Linked DNA regions of Canis lupus familiaris. The protein of the gene in region 1 purifies or fractionates together with the protein of each later gene. This does not show direct contact. Links are inferred from orthologs where the notes say so. Each region holds a gene or a part of one and is shown on either strand. Other genes may lie near its edges.

The links. The genes of interacting proteins can lie anywhere in the genome.
Region 2: the proteins of HECTD1 (region 1) and up-regulator of cell proliferation purify together in Homo sapiens (affinity purification with mass spectrometry; 4 studies listed by BioGRID and IntAct, with this or other methods). This does not show direct contact. The link is inferred for Canis lupus familiaris from reciprocal best matches to the Homo sapiens genes HECTD1 and URGCP.

The regions. Positions count from the first base shown.
Region 1 is NC_049229.1:10,568,938-10,572,584, reverse strand, and holds part of HECTD1 (E3 ubiquitin-protein ligase HECTD1), read left to right. Parts: intron 1-722; coding exon 723-1,559; intron 1,560-2,255; coding exon 2,256-2,477; intron 2,478-3,647. UniProt on the Homo sapiens protein: E3 ubiquitin-protein ligase which accepts ubiquitin from an E2 ubiquitin-conjugating enzyme in the form of a thioester and then directly transfers the ubiquitin to targeted substrates.
Region 2 is NC_049237.1:14,516,262-14,519,984, forward strand, and holds the start of up-regulator of cell proliferation, read left to right. Parts: upstream 1-866; 5' UTR 867-982; coding exon 983-996; intron 997-2,615; exon of another isoform or gene 2,616-2,743; intron 2,744-3,723. UniProt on the Homo sapiens protein: May be involved in cell cycle progression through the regulation of cyclin D1 expression. May participate in the development of hepatocellular carcinoma (HCC) by promoting hepatocellular growth and survival.

The sequences.
Region 1 (3,647 bases):
AATTATTGTTTTTTAAAAAGAGCAAGCATTGTTTTACAAGTACAAGTAAATATACATTGAATATCATGTTCATTAGTTCTTTGCACATTATTAGCTTTAGCTTATAGGTTCTAATAAAAGAGCTTAGTATTTTAAAATTTTTGTTTTTAGAATTTTCTGTGCTTATTCAAATATAGTAAACTTAATCATAAGAAAACCAAGTAACCACTGAACTTTGAGAACACAACCGAAATGCTAACTTAGTGTTATTTGAGCTGGTGACCTAAAATTTGTACAGTGATACATGAATATTTTGTCAATTACTAGAATTTAGCCCAAACTTAAAAATTAATGATAAATCAGAACTTTTTTCTAAAAAGAGCATTTGACCCCATAATCATATTTAGCAATTATAAAAACCTTTTATTTAGATTTCATCGATAAATTGAAGTAGTATTCCACCATTTGTATCAATCTTTTTATAGTTTTTCCCCTCAAAAGATACCCCGATAGATGTAAACATGACCGACCCTTACATTGTTTTCAAATATCAGCAGAGCAAGCAGTTCAGAAATAAGAGAAATAAAAGGAAGAATTTAATTTTAGTTGGCAGACCTTTAATGACTATAGAAATTCAGAGAAGTACAGCACTGATGAAAAGCTGATCCCATATTGTGGAGCTACTGTCTGACACGCTCCTATCTGCTTTCTGCCGGGTCTCACAAACTCCTGTCCCTTTCCAGGCTGGATTGATGTCACCTGGGATGCTGGTGGCTCAAACTCTTACCGTATGGGCGCAGAAGGAAAATTTGACCTCAAGCTTGCACCAGGGTACGACCCTGATACAGTGGCATCACCCAAACCTGTTTCATCCACTGTTTCAGGCACAACGCAATCATGGAGCAGCTTGGTGAAAAACAACTGTCCCGACAAGACATCTGCTGCTGCAGGCTCCTCAAGTAGAAAAGGAAGCAGCAGTTCTGTGTGTAGCGTGGCCAGTAGCAGCGACATCAGCTTGGGTTCGACCAAAACGGAACGGAGATCAGAAATTGTAATGGAACACAGTATAGTTTCAGGAGCTGATGTCCATGAACCAATTGTTGTTCTTTCATCTGCTGAAAACGTCCCTCAAACAGAAGTAGGGTCATCTTCCAGTGCAAGCACCAGCACCTTAACAGCGGAAACGGGAAGTGAAAATGCTGAAAGAAAGTTAGGCCCCGATAGTTCTGTTCGCACTCCTGGGGAATCTAGTGCAATATCCATGGGAATTGTTAGTGTTAGTTCTCCTGATGTTAGTTCAGTGTCTGAGTTAACTAATAAAGAAGCAGCTTCACAACGGCCCCTTAGCTCTTCAGCAAGTAACAGACTGTCAGTGAGTTCTTTGCTGGCTGCTGGGGCCCCTATGAGCTCTAGTGCAAGTGTACCTAATCTGTCCTCAAGAGAAACATCTAGCTTGGAGAGTTTTGTAAGGAGAGTGGCAAACATAGCACGGACTAATGCCACGAACAACATGAATCTAAGCCGAAGCAGCAGTGATAACAACACTAATACTTTGGGGAGGAATGTGATGAGCACAGCAAGTAAGTGAGCTTTTCCTTATGGAACCCAATCGTTTTTCCACTCGGAGGGATGCAAAGTAGGGTTTCTTGTTCAGTGGGTTCTGGCTGCAGTCTTTAACTAGATCATTAACCATGTTACATACAACTACGTCAGATTTAGCACTTCAGGAATATGAAATTAAGTTCTATAGAATCATGATCTCTTAAGAATTCAAATCAGGTATGATAAAGAACCTCTTAATTGGAAAGGATAAAACAGTAACACACTTCTATTTTCCACTCTTCTATGATAAATTGTTAAGTTCAGCTGCATGAGGAAATAGATAACTATTAAATATGTCATAGTCAACTGAAATCAGAGCATCACACTGGTTTAACTTTTCCTTAGGTCCTAAATTGATATTAGCTTCTGGAAGGTATTTAATTCTCACTTAAGCTAATGGGTAATTCCTTTGGAAAATATCATTGGGAATTAGTTCATTGCCTGTTTCACTTTTTAAAAAAGCAGGACTTAATTTTTTGAAAAAATAACAGTGCTATAAAAACAAGGATTCTTAGTTGGATTTCAGTTGGGTTCCCAAAGTTGTTGCTTTTTAGCCTTTTAATAATTAGTGTTTGATAATCTCATTCTTTTACTCTAAATACAAAACCTAGTTTTTCTTAGGTTTATACGATCCCACCATCAGTCATCCTGATTTGCTTCATTTTTATCTTTAGCTTCTCCTCTTATGGGTGCTCAGAGTTTCCCCAATTTGACTACACCTGGTACTACATCAACAGTGACAATGTCAACATCCAGTGTGACTAGCAGCAGCAATGTGGCCACAGCAACAACAGTCCTATCAGTTGGTCAGTCCTTAAGTAATACTTTAACTACTAGCCTCACATCCACCTCCAGTGAGAGTGACACAGGTCAGGAAGCTGAATATTCCTTGTATGGTAAGTGATAGTTTAAAATATTTAGGTATTTGTAAAGTGATGCTTTACCATGTTTTCCTGCTATGTGGTTTTTAACTGTCAATTAGAAAATAATTATCTCCTATTAAAGATACGTCATCTTCATATAAGAAGAAAAAACTCAGCGTGTGGGGGACTATTAAATTATCTGATCATAAGCAGACATCTAGGAACTTTTGTGTCTTCCTTTTCTACCCTGTGCACACTAATGACATTTTATTGGAAAAATCCTAATAACAAAGATATTTGACACTTTTATCAGAGAAGAATAGAAGTGTAAGAGATTAATAAGCTTTGTAAAGTTATATTCTTTGTATACTATAATGTAAGAGGAAAAACACTCCCCACGTATCTCCTCTATATTCTCAACACTATTCACAGAATGCTTCACTGCTGGCACCACTGACTGGCAAATGTTTGTGAATTTTTCCCACACCGAGCAGTTTTCAGACACAAGGTGGGTGTCATACAGTTTAACTTAGTTACTCAATTATGGCACTATTACTACCTGGAGATAAAGTTACATCCCGTAAGTAAAGGCCTCAGTTCTATGATACTATCTCCCCTTCAGATGCTAATTGAAAGTCATCTGTGTTACAGACTGGGTATAAATTGGTGGCTTCCATGACCCTTTCTTCTTGTTCGATTAATTTGCTAGAATTGCTCACAGGACTCAGGAAAACATTTTATTTACTAGATTTTAGTTAGCCTTTACTTAGAAAAAGGATATAACTTGGAAACAGCCAAATGGAAGAGATGTGTAGGGTGAGGTCTGGAAGGTCCCAAGCACAGGAGTTTGTCCTTTTGGAGTTTGGGGACCCTACCAGCCTGGAAGCCCTACAGGCTTCATGACTTAAGCACAGTTGATTAAATTATTGGCCGTTGGTGATTAAACTCTGTGTGTGGCCCCTCTTCTTTCCCCAAAAAGGAGTTATCTTTCCAGATAGCTCCTTTCTCTTCTCTTTTCTTTTCTTTTTTTTCTTTTCTTTTCTCTTTTCTTTTCTTTCTATTTTATTTATTCATTCATTCATTCATTCATTCATTCATTCATTCATTCATGGAAGACACAGAGAGAGGCAGAGAGAGACACATGCAGAGGAGAAGTAGGTTCCAGGCAGGAATCCTGATGTGGGACTCAATCCCGGGACTCCA
Region 2 (3,723 bases), on another chromosome or scaffold:
TTGTGCAAGACAGCACAGCAAGGGGCAGCCAGGGTGGCTCAGCAGTTTAGTGCCGCCTTCAGCCCAGGGCCTGATCCTGGAGACCCGGTCGAGTCCCACGTCGGGCTCCCTGCATGGAGCCTGCTTCTTCCTCTGCCTGTGCCTCTGCCTGTGCCTCTGCCTCCCTCTCTCTCTCTGTGTCTCTCATGAATAAATAAATAAAATCTTTAAAAAAAAAAGCACAGCAATTAATAGGTTACTGCTTGCTAATAGTCGTAACAGCACCTTGCTCTCCTGGGTGAAGGAAAAGGCTTTTACGGAGGAAATCCAATCCTGTGGTCGGGAGGTGTCCACCTCACCTGGTCCGGCAGTTGCTTCGTGGCCCCGGGGCAGATTTTCGGCAGGTTTGGCCCCGTCTTTCCCCCTCCAGGAATCCTGGCCTGCTGGCACCAGGGCAGGTGGGCGGTGGGCGGGTCAAAGCTGCACCCAGTTGGTCTGGGTGCCAAGTCTGTGCTGCCTACCCCCACCACCAACTTCGGCCTTTGGGGGCGACTGCAGGACCCTCCCATGACCCCCTGCTATCTGAGGCCCCCGCCCCCCACCTCCCACCCCCTGCTGCCCCGAGCCCCCTCCCAGAGGGCCCTTGCCTCCCGTCCCGCCGCCCCGGGTCCCTCCTAGAGCTCCCCCTCCCAGAGCCCCCGGCCCCCTCCCCGCCCCCTTCCCTGCGCCCCCGGCCCCTTCCCCGAGCACGGCACCCCCCAGCACCCCCGGGCCCCCTTCCCAAGCCCCAGGCCCCCTCCCCGCCGGCCCCGTCCCCGTCCCGAGCGCGGCCCCCTCCCCGCGCCCCTGCCCCCCCCCCCACCGCCGCGGGCCCCCTCCCCGCGCCCCCGCAGCCCAGAGCGGCCCGGGCGGGCGGCCGTGGCCGGCGTGAGGCCCCTCCCCGGCGGAGGCGCTCGGGTGGAGGAAGCGGAGGCGGCGGCAGCGCCGAGACCTCGCTGCGCTGATGGCGTCGCCCGGGTGAGTGCGGCGCTCGGGCCCGCCGGAGAGGGGGAGAGGGGGCCGCGGCCGCGGGGAGGGGGCTCCGGTGCAGGTGCGAGCGCCCGCGGCCTTCCGCGGCCTTCCGCGTCCCCCGCCTGCCGGGCCAGCGGCCCTCCCAGGCCCTCCTGCCGACCTTGGGCGGGCGCAGCTGGGCAGGGCAGGGCAGGGGAGGGGGGGGCCGCGGGCCTCCCGGTGGGGGCCCAGGTCGGGGTTGGCGGGGAGGTGGGGAGGACGTGCATGGCCCCGGAGCCTGGGAGTGCCCCCCCACCCCCCCACCCCCGCAGCTGCTTCCCACTGGCTCGGTGGGGGCGGGCGCTGGGCTGGCCCGCGGGGCGCAGCCGAGGGGCCCGAAGGTCGTGGCTGAGTCCCGGGGCGCGGGCGGGCCTTGCGGGCCCTGCTGGGGTGGCAGCCCCTGTTCTGACATCACCGCCTGGCCTTGCCTCCCTGCTAAAACGCTTTTTCTCTCCGGAAACATGGTGACACACACCAACTGTAATTTTTGAAAAAATCCTGACGAAATAAAACCTCAGCCATTAATTACAATTAGTTTCTGCCTCCATAGTCTAACTAGTCGTGAAAGCTGGACACGACAACCCAGTACCTTCACAGAGGAGGAAAATTAGTCTCAAGGTCATTGGTTTAGTTGGTGAAATTCTTAAGGTGACGACTGTCCACATTCAGAGGGTCTTAGGCCCAGTGGCAGTGACAGCAGTCCCTCGGGGGTAGAGGTACTGTCAGGCTGGTGACAGGTGAACTGTCCCTGCCCGAGGCCTGCAGGGAGCCTTGGATTTGCTGGCAGGGCAGCCGAGTCATGGGCACTCTCCAGCTACCTGCTGGCCTTCCTGCTTTGGGGAGCTTTGGTGACACAGTAGCTAGTACTTTGAGCTCATAATAGGCTAAACACCTGGCCCATCCCTCAGAAGGCCGGTTGGATTGAACCAGAGTTCAAGGTCCCACCATGTCCCTGCCCCTCTTGTCAGATAACAGTGAGGTGGGGTGGCCTGCCAGCAGCAGCATGATGTCCAGGCCTGTGTGGGGCTGCCGTGAGGCCTTTCCAACCTGATGGCACATTTGGTGTCCAGACGCACCCCTTTGTAGGCCTGGGTCAGAGGTGGACTTAACTGTGGGCTGGTGTGGTGTCCCTGTGGGGGAGGCAGTAGCATAGATTTGATTCCATACTCTCATGAGTGACCCTATGAGTCTGCAGGGAGCGCTAATCTGTAATGTTCTGATGCATACTCCTCGGAAAGCCAAGGCCCCGAAACTTTCAGCATCCTTTGCTGGATTTCATAGAGAGAGCTACGCACTGTGGCTCGTTAGTATGGTGCATATGCACTGGGAACAGTCCACGCCTCCAGATTAACCTCGAGGTGTCTATTCTACAGGTTTCACTGGTAGGGAGAGTCCACCCAGGAAGACCTGACTTCCGGGGACTTTCTGGCCTGGCTTGGTCAGCTGACCAGCAGAGACCCCGCCTGCTGGACTTGTACCGTGGGAACAAGCCCAGAGCTTCAGGGCCAATGTGGGAAGGGACCTCTTATTCCTCCTGGGCTATGGAATGTATGGAGGGGCCTCTGACTCTGGTGTTCTTTCCTCAGCGAATCACTATAAGACAGCTGGGAAGGAAAGAGGAGGCCCTGATGGATGTGCTGGGGATTATGCAGAAGGGAATGGCCAGAAGCAAGGCAACAGAGGAAAAGACACATTTGGGATGAGCCACAGCCCAGTGAGTTTGGGGCTATGTAGAGACAAGATTGCTGGGTCAGGCTGTGGGACTTGGCCTCATCTGTGGGCTCACTGAGGGGCAGTCCACATGACAGCAGTGTGGAGGGGGCAGGACAGATGGAGCTTGGGGACCTGCCTCCATCCACTCCCTCCTGCGGGCGTCAAGGCTTGTCTCTGCACTCACAGCTGGTGGCTTTGCCATCAGCACCCCTTGGGCTCTGTCCTCCATCTGTGCTGATCCCAGCACGTGTTCTCTGCCAGACAGCATCCCTTCCTGGGGCCTTAGATGTCGTCTAAGTCACAGGTTCTTAGCCTGGGGTCCATGGTTCACTGGTGGGTGTCTGGAGTCCATGTGTTCCCTGAAATCAGTGCGTGCATTGCTGGGACCAGGTCTCTAGCCTCGCTGTCCACAGCCCGTTTCTAAGGGGCTCTACCCCAGCAGCACTATGACCACCTGTCTACACCCACCTGGAGGGCAGCAAGCCTGGATTACTTGGGCTAAATAAATATATGGTTCAGGTTTTTGTTTTTAAAGATTTATTTATTTATTTATTTACTGAGTGAGATATGGGGGGGGGCAAGCAAGGGTGAGGGACAGAGGGAGACGGAGAAGCAGACTCCCCACTGAGCTGGGAGCCCCACACGGGGCTCAATCCGGGGACCCTGAGATCACGCCCTGAGCCAAAGGCAGATGCTGAACCAATTGAGCCACCCAGGTGCCCGCTAGTTTTCAGATTGTTAATGGTAGATAATTCAAAAAACCAAAAATCCTAAAACAAAATGAAAATCAAATGTAATCTGAATTTCCATAGTTCACCACTTTTACAATTTTGGTGTGTTTTTAATTAGGCTATATTTAATTAGGCTGTGATTCTTATCAGAGAGATGGCCTTCCAGATACAACTGGGGTGCCCCCCCAACTCACTAGGCAAGCATCCTGACATTGTCCTTTGCGTTTACATGTTATGTTTGTTCTTTGCT